2 linked regions of the Arabidopsis thaliana genome follow. The protein of the gene in region 1 interacts with the protein of each later gene in a biochemical or structural test. Each region holds a gene or a part of one and is shown in the gene's direction. Other genes may lie near its edges.

Evidence for each region.
Region 2: of the proteins of NIA2 (region 1) and SIZ1, one has a biochemical effect on the other in vitro, tested with the Arabidopsis thaliana proteins (one study listed by BioGRID).

What each region holds. Positions count from the first base shown.
Region 1 is NC_003070.9:14,156,920-14,162,441, forward strand, and holds NIA2 (nitrate reductase 2), read left to right. Parts: upstream 1-1,532; 5' UTR 1,533-1,697; coding exon 1,698-2,742; intron 2,743-2,928; coding exon 2,929-3,069; intron 3,070-3,165; coding exon 3,166-4,733; 3' UTR 4,734-5,019; downstream 5,020-5,522. UniProt on the Arabidopsis thaliana protein: Nitrate reductase is a key enzyme involved in the first step of nitrate assimilation in plants, fungi and bacteria.
Region 2 is NC_003076.8:24,293,065-24,300,766, forward strand, and holds the start of SIZ1 (DNA-binding protein with MIZ/SP-RING zinc finger, PHD-finger and SAP domain-containing protein), read left to right. Parts: upstream 1-1,696; 5' UTR 1,697-1,971; intron 1,972-2,069; 5' UTR 2,070-2,161; coding exon 2,162-2,185; intron 2,186-2,453; coding exon 2,454-2,534; intron 2,535-2,753; coding exon 2,754-2,796; intron 2,797-2,905; coding exon 2,906-2,978; intron 2,979-3,072; coding exon 3,073-3,235; intron 3,236-3,399; coding exon 3,400-3,530; intron 3,531-3,837; coding exon 3,838-3,906; intron 3,907-4,149; coding exon 4,150-4,237; intron 4,238-4,316; coding exon 4,317-4,392; intron 4,393-4,603; coding exon 4,604-4,677; intron 4,678-4,806; coding exon 4,807-4,914; intron 4,915-5,397; coding exon 5,398-5,559; intron 5,560-5,663; coding exon 5,664-5,768; intron 5,769-5,851; coding exon 5,852-5,932; intron 5,933-6,015; coding exon 6,016-7,219; coding exon of another isoform or gene 7,220-7,236; exon of another isoform or gene 7,237-7,467; coding exon 7,468-7,603; coding exon of another isoform or gene 7,604-7,607; exon of another isoform or gene 7,608-7,688; coding exon 7,689-7,702. UniProt on the Arabidopsis thaliana protein: E3 SUMO protein ligase involved in regulation processes. Mediates SUMO/ attachment to PHR1, a MYB transcriptional activator controlling the phosphate deficiency responses.

The sequences.
Region 1 (5,522 bases):
TTATTCTGCAGTAAAAAATTCATTAGCAAACTCTCTTTAATTAAATATCAAAATATGTTTTTTAATGTAAAAATATTAATTAATATCTTAAACTTTGTCTTTTTAGTGAAATATCTTATATATTATAACAGAAGAAGTATATATATATATATATATATAAAAAAAATAAAGATGTATATTGGTTACCCAAAATTAGAAGTTCACAAGAAAATCAATATTCAATATTTACTCAATGAAATTTTCAACAAAAAAAAGTCTTAAATAAAGAAAGATTTACCCACTGAATCTGCTGAACCCGTGGCTCCGTCGGTTTTGATTAGTCACCGCCATTCTTTCCGAAGAAAAACAATAATAACAGTAATACTAATATATAGGTGGCTGTAATGTTGCATCTTGATCAAAAAGAGAAATAATTTTGTAGTTATTTTAAGGAAAAAGATGAACGTGATCATTTTCCATCATTCAGTTTTTTTTTTTTTTTCATTTTCCAACATTCATACATAGGTATTTTAAACTTTTAGATGATTCAAGGAACTATTTTAGGTTATAATAATGTATACAAAAAATTAGATTACTCAATAATTAATATCTCATCAATATTGCTGAAAATCACATCTGTTAATTTTATCAAAAAAAAATATTACTAAAAAACAGTTTAATAAGAAAATATTACTGAAAATAACGTTTAATAAGAAAATAAATATTGTATGATTATTAGATTTTTTCTGATAATATGTTTAATTGATTTATCAAATCTCAAGAATAAAAGGAACGTTGTTCCTATGTTTAACTGAAGGATATAAGAACATTGATAAACTTCTAAACTAGAACCAGGGGTAAAAGGATTATCAAATCTCAATAATAAAAGGAACGTTCTTCCTATGTTAACACATTGATAATTCTTTAATTTACTGGTAAAAAATATACGGTTTACAAAATATATATATATATATATATATATATATATATATATATATATATATATACGGTTTTAATAGTTACCGATCACAAAAACTATTAAAATTAATAGTATGAAAATATTATCACCACGATTTTTGTATTACTAATTTTATTGCTCTTAATTATTTTGTCATCTTTTATCGTTATTTTTCCATTAAAAATAAATACGGCTTTGTGTCACGAATAAGAAAACATATTTTTTAGTAAAACAAATTCGACTAAAATAAAAAGGAAAATGTTTTGATCACATTTTTATATTGTATTACAGGAAATAACCAATGATAGATAATAATATATTATTCAATTGTCATCATTTCTTAGTTGACAAAAAAAAATCTATACATGTTTCCGAGACGTTAAAAGTATTTACAAAACTACTCCAACAATTCACATTTGTTTTATAACAAATAGGGACAAAAATGATCATTTTAAGCTTATTGAATAACTATGATCGTTTATTTTTGTCAAACAAATGGATGGTTTATTTAATTAAGTCAAGTCATAAGAAAAAATTAATAGTAAGTGTGTAAGAAAAAAATTAAAAAGTCACAAATGGTCCCATACGTGTGATTCGGCACGATACTTCCTAAAAGCATACCACTAGGCTCTCTCCTATATAACTTCATCTCCACCAACGATGCATTTTCGTCCTCAGATCTCATCTCACTCACAAGAGAGAGATAGAGAGAGAAAAAGGCTCTGCTTTCTACATTATTTACGATTATACACTTTCCAACATGGCGGCCTCTGTAGATAATCGCCAATACGCTCGTCTCGAGCCAGGTTTGAACGGCGTGGTTCGTTCTTACAAACCTCCCGTTCCAGGCCGGTCCGATTCCCCTAAGGCGCACCAGAACCAAACCACCAACCAAACCGTGTTCTTGAAACCAGCCAAGGTTCATGACGATGACGAAGACGTGTCGAGCGAAGACGAGAACGAGACACACAACAGCAACGCCGTGTACTACAAGGAGATGATAAGAAAATCCAACGCCGAGCTTGAACCGTCCGTTTTGGACCCGAGGGACGAATACACGGCTGATAGCTGGATCGAGCGTAACCCTTCCATGGTACGTCTCACAGGGAAACATCCCTTCAACTCCGAGGCGCCTCTTAACCGTTTAATGCACCACGGGTTTATCACCCCTGTCCCGTTGCACTACGTTCGTAACCACGGCCACGTCCCTAAAGCCCAATGGGCCGAATGGACGGTCGAGGTGACCGGATTCGTCAAACGGCCCATGAAATTCACCATGGACCAGCTCGTCTCCGAGTTTGCTTACCGCGAGTTCGCCGCGACGCTAGTCTGCGCGGGGAACCGCCGTAAGGAACAGAACATGGTGAAGAAGTCAAAGGGATTCAACTGGGGATCCGCCGGAGTTTCCACCTCCGTGTGGCGTGGTGTCCCTCTCTGCGACGTACTGCGTCGCTGCGGGATCTTTAGCCGAAAAGGCGGCGCTCTCAACGTCTGCTTCGAAGGGTCGGAGGATCTTCCGGGCGGTGCCGGAACTGCTGGTTCCAAATACGGAACGAGCATCAAGAAGGAATATGCCATGGATCCATCAAGAGACATCATTTTGGCTTATATGCAAAACGGAGAGTATCTAACACCAGACCACGGTTTTCCGGTTCGGATCATCATCCCCGGTTTCATTGGTGGCCGGATGGTTAAATGGTTGAAACGAATCATTGTCACAACTAAAGAATCCGACAATTTCTACCATTTCAAGGACAACAGAGTTTTACCTTCTTTGGTAGACGCCGAACTCGCCGACGAAGAAGGTACATAAAATCTTTTTGCTTCAATAAATCTCATTAAGATGAACTAATTGATATGTTTAAAAAGTCTCCGAACCTATAGGAGAAAAACAAAAACAGAAATCATATTAAAAAATGAAAAACTAATGTTGGTGGATGATGTCAGCTTCTGTGACTTACATAAATTCAAATTCAATGGTTTTGTTTTAGGTTGGTGGTATAAGCCAGAGTACATAATCAACGAGCTAAACATAAACTCCGTGATTACGACGCCATGTCACGAGGAGATTCTTCCCATCAACGCTTTCACAACCCAAAGACCTTATACTTTAAAGGGTTACGCATATTCCGGTACTTGTCCTTTTAACATTTTAATTTAATAAATACGTTATTTCATAGGATGATTTAATTTAATAGTAACAATAATCTTTATACAAAAAAAAACAGGAGGTGGAAAAAAAGTGACCCGTGTGGAGGTCACGGTAGATGGTGGAGAGACATGGAACGTATGTGCACTTGACCATCAAGAGAAGCCAAACAAGTATGGGAAGTTCTGGTGTTGGTGTTTTTGGTCACTTGAGGTTGAGGTTTTGGACTTGCTTAGTGCCAAAGAGATTGCTGTTCGTGCATGGGACGAGACTCTCAACACGCAGCCCGAGAAAATGATATGGAATCTCATGGGGATGATGAATAACTGCTGGTTTAGAGTGAAGACTAACGTGTGCAAGCCACACAAGGGAGAGATTGGGATTGTGTTCGAGCATCCAACGCTTCCTGGTAATGAATCTGGTGGATGGATGGCGAAGGAACGTCACCTCGAAAAATCGGCTGACGCGCCTCCTAGTCTAAAGAAGTCTGTCTCGACGCCGTTTATGAACACAACTGCGAAGATGTACTCGATGTCCGAGGTCAAGAAGCATAATTCGGCTGACTCTTGCTGGATCATTGTCCATGGACATATCTATGATTGTACACGATTCCTTATGGATCACCCGGGTGGTTCGGATTCAATCTTGATCAATGCTGGTACGGATTGTACGGAGGAGTTTGAAGCCATTCACTCGGATAAAGCCAAGAAGATGCTTGAGGATTACCGTATCGGTGAGCTCATCACCACTGGTTATTCCTCTGACTCTTCCTCGCCTAACAACTCGGTTCACGGTTCATCCGCCGTGTTCTCGCTGTTGGCTCCCATTGGAGAGGCGACTCCGGTTAGGAACCTCGCTTTGGTTAATCCCCGGGCTAAAGTCCCGGTTCAACTCGTCGAAAAGACTTCCATTTCTCATGATGTTCGTAAATTCCGGTTTGCTTTACCGGTTGAGGATATGGTTCTAGGCTTACCGGTTGGTAAGCACATTTTCCTTTGCGCCACCATCAATGACAAGCTCTGCCTCAGAGCTTACACACCAAGCAGCACCGTTGATGTGGTTGGCTACTTCGAGCTCGTGGTCAAGATTTACTTTGGCGGTGTCCACCCAAGATTCCCTAACGGCGGGCTCATGTCTCAGTACCTAGACTCTTTGCCTATAGGGTCAACTTTGGAGATTAAAGGACCATTGGGTCACGTTGAGTATCTCGGCAAGGGTAGTTTCACGGTTCACGGTAAACCAAAGTTTGCTGATAAATTGGCAATGTTGGCAGGTGGAACCGGAATAACTCCGGTTTACCAAATTATCCAAGCCATTCTCAAGGATCCAGAGGATGAGACTGAAATGTACGTCATTTATGCTAACCGGACCGAGGAAGATATTCTCCTAAGGGAGGAACTGGATGGTTGGGCAGAGCAATACCCGGACCGGTTAAAGGTTTGGTACGTAGTGGAATCAGCTAAGGAAGGTTGGGCATACAGTACCGGGTTTATTTCCGAGGCGATTATGCGAGAACATATCCCTGATGGATTAGATGGCTCAGCCCTTGCCATGGCTTGCGGACCACCACCGATGATTCAGTTTGCGGTTCAGCCGAATTTGGAGAAGATGCAATATAACATCAAGGAGGATTTCTTGATATTCTAGTCTAAAGCCAAGATATTTCAAAGTCAAAACGTTAAGTCGTCAAAAAGCCTAGTGTTATGATAGATTCTAAATAAGTATTGAGGGATTTGTTTGTATATAATGTTGGTTCTTTAAAGTCTTGGATTTGGAAATATAATGTGTTCGTTGTATTCACGATCGATATTTTTTTTCACAATAATATACAAAAAGTAATTTCAGAAATTTTTGTGGTTAGGTTATCGTACATTGAATTTTCTGCGTTTACTTCACATTATGAATATCAATTTGAATATGTTCATTTTTTCATATGTCTTTGTCGTTAAAAAATAAAATAAAAATTCTACAGCTATTAGACACCAATAATCATTTTCAAAGAGAATAAAGCCAAAGCGAAGTAGTTTCCTGTTGTGCAAGTTGAAACCAAACTCGTCCATTAGTTCCTATATTAATCTTCACCACATATATGATTTAAGATTAGGGGGAGTGAATTTACTTTTTTCATTTGTTTTATTAACTTGTAATTTAGAAGACTCTTCCTTTTTGGGTGATTAGTTTAACAATATATCAATCGTTTGAGAATCTTTAGAGTTTTCAGTTAATATTCAATTTGTTCTTATTAAAATTGTACATGTTTATAAAGTATGTTTCTAGCATCCAAACTCTTCTCCATTACAGGATTAGAATTTTAATACAGCATCACAAGTTATGTTCTAAGTTATCCAAAAGGAACATCATATCTATATAAAAATAGTGTGCTATTAAACCGATAGAAAATGTTACGATATATATATATATATATATCTAAATAAA
Region 2 (7,702 bases), on another chromosome or scaffold:
AATATATATATGGATGAGGTGATACTAATAGAGTGATTACACATACAAGTGGTCTTGCTTCTTCTATGGTTTTAAAACTGCAAATAAAGATTTGCTTCGCAGGAGAGATAGCGCCATCACCTCTTCTAAGAAGTTAACTAGTGGTGACGGTATCTCTCCTACGTAGCAATCCTTATATATGCATCTTAATACGGAGAGATCAAGGTATTTCAGTTGTTCAATAATCACCCTCTAACAAAGATGCATCTTAATATTCATAAACTATTCTCTTTCTACTTACATAGTAACACCATAAAAACAATGAAACTGCTCCGTAGAGGACCTTGGTTTGAGCCTCTAGATCGTCTTCTCTTACCTAAAATGATAATCTGTTCCAAGATAGGTTCTTGCTATTTGCTCAAATATGTTTTGGTCTTTTGAATGTTAGCTCAGCAAGGAGCTCACATGATTAGCAGCACATCCTCAGCCTGAAAGTTTCAAGAAAAGCTTTATCAATTTAAGAGTTGTGTACGTTTGCAGAATTCTCACAAGTTTGGTTTGATTCTCACCCACAAGAAAAAAATGTCTTTTCTTTTACTTTCGATATGTTTCTTTGCCTTTGACAAGGGACATATAAAAATGTTAAGACGAAAAGGTTGACAAATCTTTGAAAACTATCCACATCATGAACTCAAGATATCTCATTCCATTAGAAGCAAAAAAAATATCAAGTCAATGAGACCAGCTCACGACTACTCTAGAATCTTCATTAAGCAGAACAAGGAAAATCTATAGGTCTAATTAAACCTTTTTTTAATATCTCGGGTTAACACCAAATTTGGTTCAAACTCGACAAGTCATTGTTCAAAACACAGCATCCAAAAAGATAAAAAGCCAAATCTTATCACCAGAAGTCCACCACTAATTGGTATATAATGTTTTTTTTTGTATGTAGAAATAGTGTTGAAGAAAGAGCTTCATGCTATTTGATATCTATAATATCTCATTTCTTGTAACAAATGAACTCCACACGGAATGAAGCTTTTTACATATAGAAAGAACATATAAATGTGTCCAATATCTAATTTGGTCCACGTATCAATTTGCAAGATCACATGCTTACGAGACCTCAAATATTTGGTGGATATATAAGATAATTTCCCACATGTTTTACGAACCATCCCGTAATGAGTATGAATTATCCGGTCTAGCAATCCATTCGATAGATTTACTAGTTGAAACTTGAAAGTAGGGTTTTGCTCACTTGTATCCTTTATTCGTAGTTTAACTATAATGCACATATGGAAGAATTGAGCCACAATTCTCAATGAATTTAGCGAGGGTGAGAAATGTCAATTCAATGTACATTCTATGTCAATTCAATGAAAACAAATGAAGAAAAGAGACATGAAATATGTTTCCAAATTCTTACTTAGAAGAATTAGAATCAAATAATACAATATCTACATATGCCATGAGAGACATATGGAAAACCATGTTTTCGGATGATAAACTTCCAAATTGATTTGATATATACTATAAACCGGCAAATAAACAAATTGAGGTTAAAATATAACAAACCGGTCCGGTCTGATCGAACGGCTGATGTCATAAAACGTGGGGAATATTCGATTAAAATAACAAAGACTCCGTTACGGTCGTAAATAAGTGGTGTGAGAACCGAAAGTCAAAAACACGTCAATATTGGTGGGGGGGACGACCGTGCACGTGACCACACAGGAACTAAACCCGGACGTATTGCGCGAAAATTAAACCGGATTTGATAATCGGCGACTCGTCCGGCAACCCTTGTTTTGTTTTCGTCTCGGCGGATCGATTTTTCTTCGTCTGGGTTTGGTTGTCTTTTTATTTTCCTCTTCCTTGGCCAAAGAAAATCTTATCGTAGCTGTGAAAACCCTAGTTTCTAATCATCTCAATTCTCTCATTAACCTATCAATTTCGATAGGGTTTGATCAAGTATCCGATTTCATGGTTTGTATTTTCCGTTTAATAGTCTTTAAAGGTCTTGTCTTTTGGAATTTCAAGGGTTTTCGTTTCAGTAACTCCTTCTTTTTTTTCTGTTAATTTAGATCGGTTGCTGTATGGAGACTAATTGCTGGAGTTTAGGTTCGTGTGTTTTGAACTGAGCTTTTGGTTCTTGTTTGTGTCTGGTGTTGAAGACATGGATTTGGAAGCTAATTGTAAGGTATTATTGTCTGAAAGATCTATGGATGCTTGTTGGTTTATAATTTTTGTTGATTTGAACTTGTTATGAATGTGTTGATTGGTATATAGAGTGGATGTTTCAAAAAAGCTTTGCTTTTCCGTTTTGTTTATGATCTAGATTGTATTGCTGGGAGTAAAAAACGATCCTTTATCTCATAAGGGTTTTGGATTATGGTTCGTGGTTGCTGTTATTGAATTTAGTCTTGCTCTAGTTAAGCTTAACGTTGTGTTTTTGTTGTGGGTTGCAGGAAAAACTTTCATATTTTCGGATAAAAGAGCTCAAGGATGTGCTCACTCAGCTGGGACTTTCGAAACAGGGAAAGAAGCAGGTTAGTATCGTTCTCTAATCTTCCATTGGTCGTGATTATGTTTGTGATTGTTTTGGAATGATTATAGTAGAGAAGATGATGTTTTGGGTGATAATTATTGCTGTCTTGAGCTATATAGCAGTTTCCAAGATAAATCTAAGACATTACCTTGCAAAGAGTGTTATCTGTTTTATTCTTTCACCAAAAAATTTAACTTCTTTTTGAAATTTTCTTGTGCAGGAACTTGTCGACCGGATCTTGACCCTTCTTTCTGATGAACAAGGTTATATGAACCACTTGCTTTTGTTTATTCACGTTTTGGTGTATTAAGAGTCACTGCTAGCTCTGCCATCTTCTTCTAATAAGCTTCCGTTTTCATTCCCTACTGACAGCTGCCAGGTTGTTGTCTAAAAAGAATACAGTGGCAAAGGAAGCAGTTGCCAAATTAGTGGACGATACATATAGGTGAGTGCTCGTTTCTTTCAATAGATTTCTTAGGAGATGCCATGCTTTTTGTGGCGGTTCTTTGTTACCATTAATTTTATATTGTGTTCCATAGGAAAATGCAAGTATCTGGGGCAAGTGATTTAGCATCAAAAGGACAAGTGAGTTCAGATACCAGTAATCTGAAAGTTAAGGGAGAGCCTGAAGACCCCTTCCAACCAGAAATTAAAGTTCGATGTGTTTGTGGAAACTCGCTAGAAACAGACTCAATGATACAGGTAATCTGGGATGAACTCACTGCGTTTATTCCTGTTTGAGCTGACTGTAGACAATTTCTTTGTATTTTATGGTCGATGGTGTGATGTATTTATCATTGATTACATTTGTGAAGTTTGGTGATACTTTCTGGCTGTAATTTTTGTTTTTTTTCTTCCGATTTCAGTGTGAGGATCCAAGATGCCATGTTTGGCAGCATGTTGGCTGTGTTATTCTCCCAGATAAGCCTATGGATGGGAATCCACCACTTCCGGAATCATTTTATTGTGAAATCTGCCGACTTACTCGAGCTGACCCGTATGTGTTTCAAGGATTTTACTTTTCCTGTCTGAGTTTAAGTTTGATATGTGATTGATTTTCCATCTGAGTTCCTCCCTCACTGCTTTATGATTCTTTCCTGCCATAACTGAAAAGAAAGACATATTTATACATTTGACATGCTTTGCATTCTAGTTTCTTTGCGTTTGATTGTTCTTCTTCTTCTAGTACTGTTTTCATAGTTGTCAATTTTCTTTTATATATTATTTCCTATCTTTACATTAGCACCTGTGGATATCCTATAGCATGATTATTCACGGTTTTCCTACATGGTTTCCTTGTTCAGATTTTGGGTTACAGTGGCACATCCACTCTCTCCAGTGAGGCTGACTGCAACGACTATCCCAAATGATGGGTAAGAATTTTATATTCTTGATATTGCTATTGCTTTGAACGAGTGTACTTTCAGTGCCATTATTGTGTGAATTGGTACTTTATAAGTCACTTTGACTTTAAATTTTCTACTTGGAACTGGTATAAGACATTCATTCTAGTTTCAAGAATGACAATTGTTTCCTGGCTATATGCATAGCACCTGCTGAAGAAATACTGTTACTGGCTTTTGTTTGTACTAATACTCCGATCCAAAACTTTTCAGTGCAAGCACAATGCAGAGTGTGGAGAGAACATTTCAAATCACAAGGGCAGACAAGGACCTTTTGGCCAAACCAGAGTACGATGTTCAGGTTGGGTTTTGTAAACTACATTTAATATGTCAAGGTGTATCTACCTATACGTTTCTAACTGGAAATCAATTTTGTTTAGGCTTGGTGTATGCTCTTGAATGATAAAGTTCTCTTTAGGATGCAGTGGCCTCAGTATGCTGATCTGCAGGTCAATGGTATGACAATGACATCGACCAGAGTTTTAGTCGGTTGAGCATTTCCTTTGAAACAGGGGAATGTTGTTTTATTTCATGTTGCATAAATTCCTGTGGGCACATTCCATTCACATTCACATTGTCTTTATTTGTCTGTTATTCTGATCATACTCAATAAGACTGTGTATGTTTCTGATGTGGGATTCATGATATATACCCTATCATTTCATAGGTGTGCCTGTACGTGCAATTAATCGACCTGGAGGACAGCTTTTGGGAGTCAACGGCCGCGACGATGGACCCATTGTGTGTTTTTTATCATCCCTTTTGAGTAGTAACCCTTTTGAATTACATATAGGAGTCAATCTCTCATACATTGAAAATCTAGCAATCAGTGATGTAAGTTTTAACCATTTCATTTTACTATTTTGGCAGATTACATCTTGTATTAGGGATGGAGTTAACAGAATATCCTTGAGTGGAGGTGACGTTCGGATTTTTTGTTTTGGGGTCAGACTTGTGAAGCGCAGGACTCTACAACAGGTACTGATAACATATATGCATAAGAAACATTCAAAGATTTGGTCGTATATGTGGTCAATGAAGAGTCCAAACATAAATGTTCAAAAAGGAACGAAATTAATATTCTGAATACAAAAAGAAAGAATAAATTATGTTGGCGTACCCAAGAAAGTAATTTTGTGGAAGTTACCTGTGGTTACACACTTACGTTAAACTATTCCCATGTTATTTCCCACTCCCACTAAATCTAGAAAAGTTAGTCAGATTTCAAATTTCACAGTCCTATTCTTCTTCCTATATTTCACGTATATGAGCCACTGAGCCTGGCCTTGTATGAGATTTGGTTACGGAAGTGTAGTCTGTCCTTGTGCTGCAACATTTATCCCTTTAATCAATATATTTATCACTTTTGTTGGTGTTCTTGTATACAGAGGAATTCATATTGTACGTTAATGATCTAATGATCTCCAAGTTGCTTATATATATACTCATTTTTGCATCTAGGTTCTAAATTTGATTCCAGAAGAGGGTAAAGGGGAGACTTTTGAAGATGCTCTTGCACGTGTCCGCCGATGCATTGGAGGTGGAGGTGGAGATGATAATGCCGACAGTGATAGTGACATTGAAGTTGTTGCTGATTTCTTCGGTGTCAATCTTCGGTGTCCTGTAAGTTACTAATAGCTCGTAGCCCAGTTTTTATACTTATCCTCTTCCTAGGGCTATCTTGCAGACTGAATTTTTTTTATTGTCTTTTCTGTTTGCGTCATTAGATGAGCGGTTCTAGGATAAAAGTTGCTGGGAGATTTTTACCCTGTGTGCACATGGGCTGTTTTGACCTTGATGTGTTTGTGGAGTTGAATCAACGTTCCAGAAAGGTAGGTCTACTATCCTTGTCTAGATATTGGGTTATGTCTCTTGTTTTCTGACTTTAGTTGTTCTGGGGTTTGTTAACATGCAGTGGCAGTGCCCTATTTGTCTGAAGAACTACTCAGTGGAGCATGTAATCGTCGATCCTTATTTTAACCGTATCACGTCTAAGGTATGTATTCTTATGGGAATTCAAGAATTCTTAAAATCTTTGTATCTACGCTTTTATTCAGTAGTTGTCTTCCTGCACGACAGATGAAGCATTGTGATGAAGAGGTGACTGAAATTGAAGTGAAACCTGATGGTTCTTGGCGTGTAAAGTTCAAAAGAGAGAGTGAGCGAAGGGAACTGGGGGAACTCTCACAGTGGCATGCACCTGATGGTAGCCTTTGCCCCTCTGCTGTTGATATTAAACGGAAGATGGAAATGTTACCGGTTAAGCAAGAAGGTTACTCAGATGGTCCAGCCCCGCTAAAACTTGGAATAAGGAAGAATCGTAATGGCATTTGGGAAGTTAGCAAACCTAATACAAATGGATTATCTTCCAGTAATAGGCAAGAAAAGGTTGGGTATCAGGAGAAGAATATTATACCAATGAGTAGTAGTGCTACTGGAAGTGGTAGGGATGGTGATGATGCAAGCGTAAACCAGGATGCTATTGGAACTTTTGACTTTGTAGCCAACGGCATGGAACTTGATTCCATTTCCATGAATGTTGATTCAGGTTATAACTTTCCTGACAGAAACCAATCTGGCGAGGGTGGAAATAATGAAGTCATCGTTCTGAGTGATTCTGATGACGAGAATGATTTAGTGATCACTCCAGGGCCTGCATACAGTGGTTGTCAAACAGATGGTGGACTTACTTTTCCACTGAACCCTCCTGGAATAATTAACTCATATAATGAGGACCCACACAGCATAGCTGGGGGAAGTTCAGGCTTAGGTCTTTTCAATGATGATGATGAATTTGATACGCCCCTTTGGTCATTTCCTTCTGAAACTCCAGAAGCCCCTGGGTTCCAACTATTTAGATCTGATGCTGACGTTTCAGGAGGTTTAGTTGGTTTGCATCATCATAGTCCACTAAACTGTTCTCCTGAAATAAATGGAGGTTATACCATGGCTCCTGAGACATCAATGGCATCTGTTCCTGTGGTTCCTGGCTCTACTGGCCGATCTGAAGCAAACGATGGCCTAGTTGACAATCCTCTTGCATTTGGTAGAGACGATCCCTCACTTCAAATATTTTTGCCAACAAAACCAGATGCTTCAGCTCAGTCGGGTTTTAAAAACCAAGCTGATATGTCAAATGGTCTCCGTAGTGAAGACTGGATCTCGCTTAGGCTAGGCGATAGCGCCTCTGGGAATCATGGAGATCCTGCAACTACAAACGGGATTAACTCAAGCCATCAGATGTCTACGAGGGAAGGTTCTATGGATACTACAACAGAGACTGGTTTGTTCCCTGTCTGAGACTAATGCTTTCCTGAAAACATCAAAGGGACCTAAAAATGTGGACCATGTTCTTGATGTTGCATTACCTTTTTCATCACTTTACTAAGCTGCTAGCTAGGTCTTATAAACAACTGAAGAAGAAATATCTGTTTTAGTTTCTATGTGGCGTATTTTGTCTTTGAATATGCTACTTTATATATGTCCATAGTCCATGTGGTATACTTACTGACTATTACTGCGTATTTGCAGCGTCGTTGCTTCTGGGTATGAATGACAGTAGACAAGACAAGGCAAAGAAGCAAAGATCAGATAATCCATTTTCATTTCCTCGCCAGAAGCGTTCTGTAAGACCTCGGATGTACCTCTCCATTGACTCGGATTCTGAGTAATATTCTTCCTGATTTGTCTGTTCTGTTGTGTCTCTCTTGGGATGATTCGGTGTTCCTTTTGATTCTTAACGCTATGCACAGAACAATGAACAGGA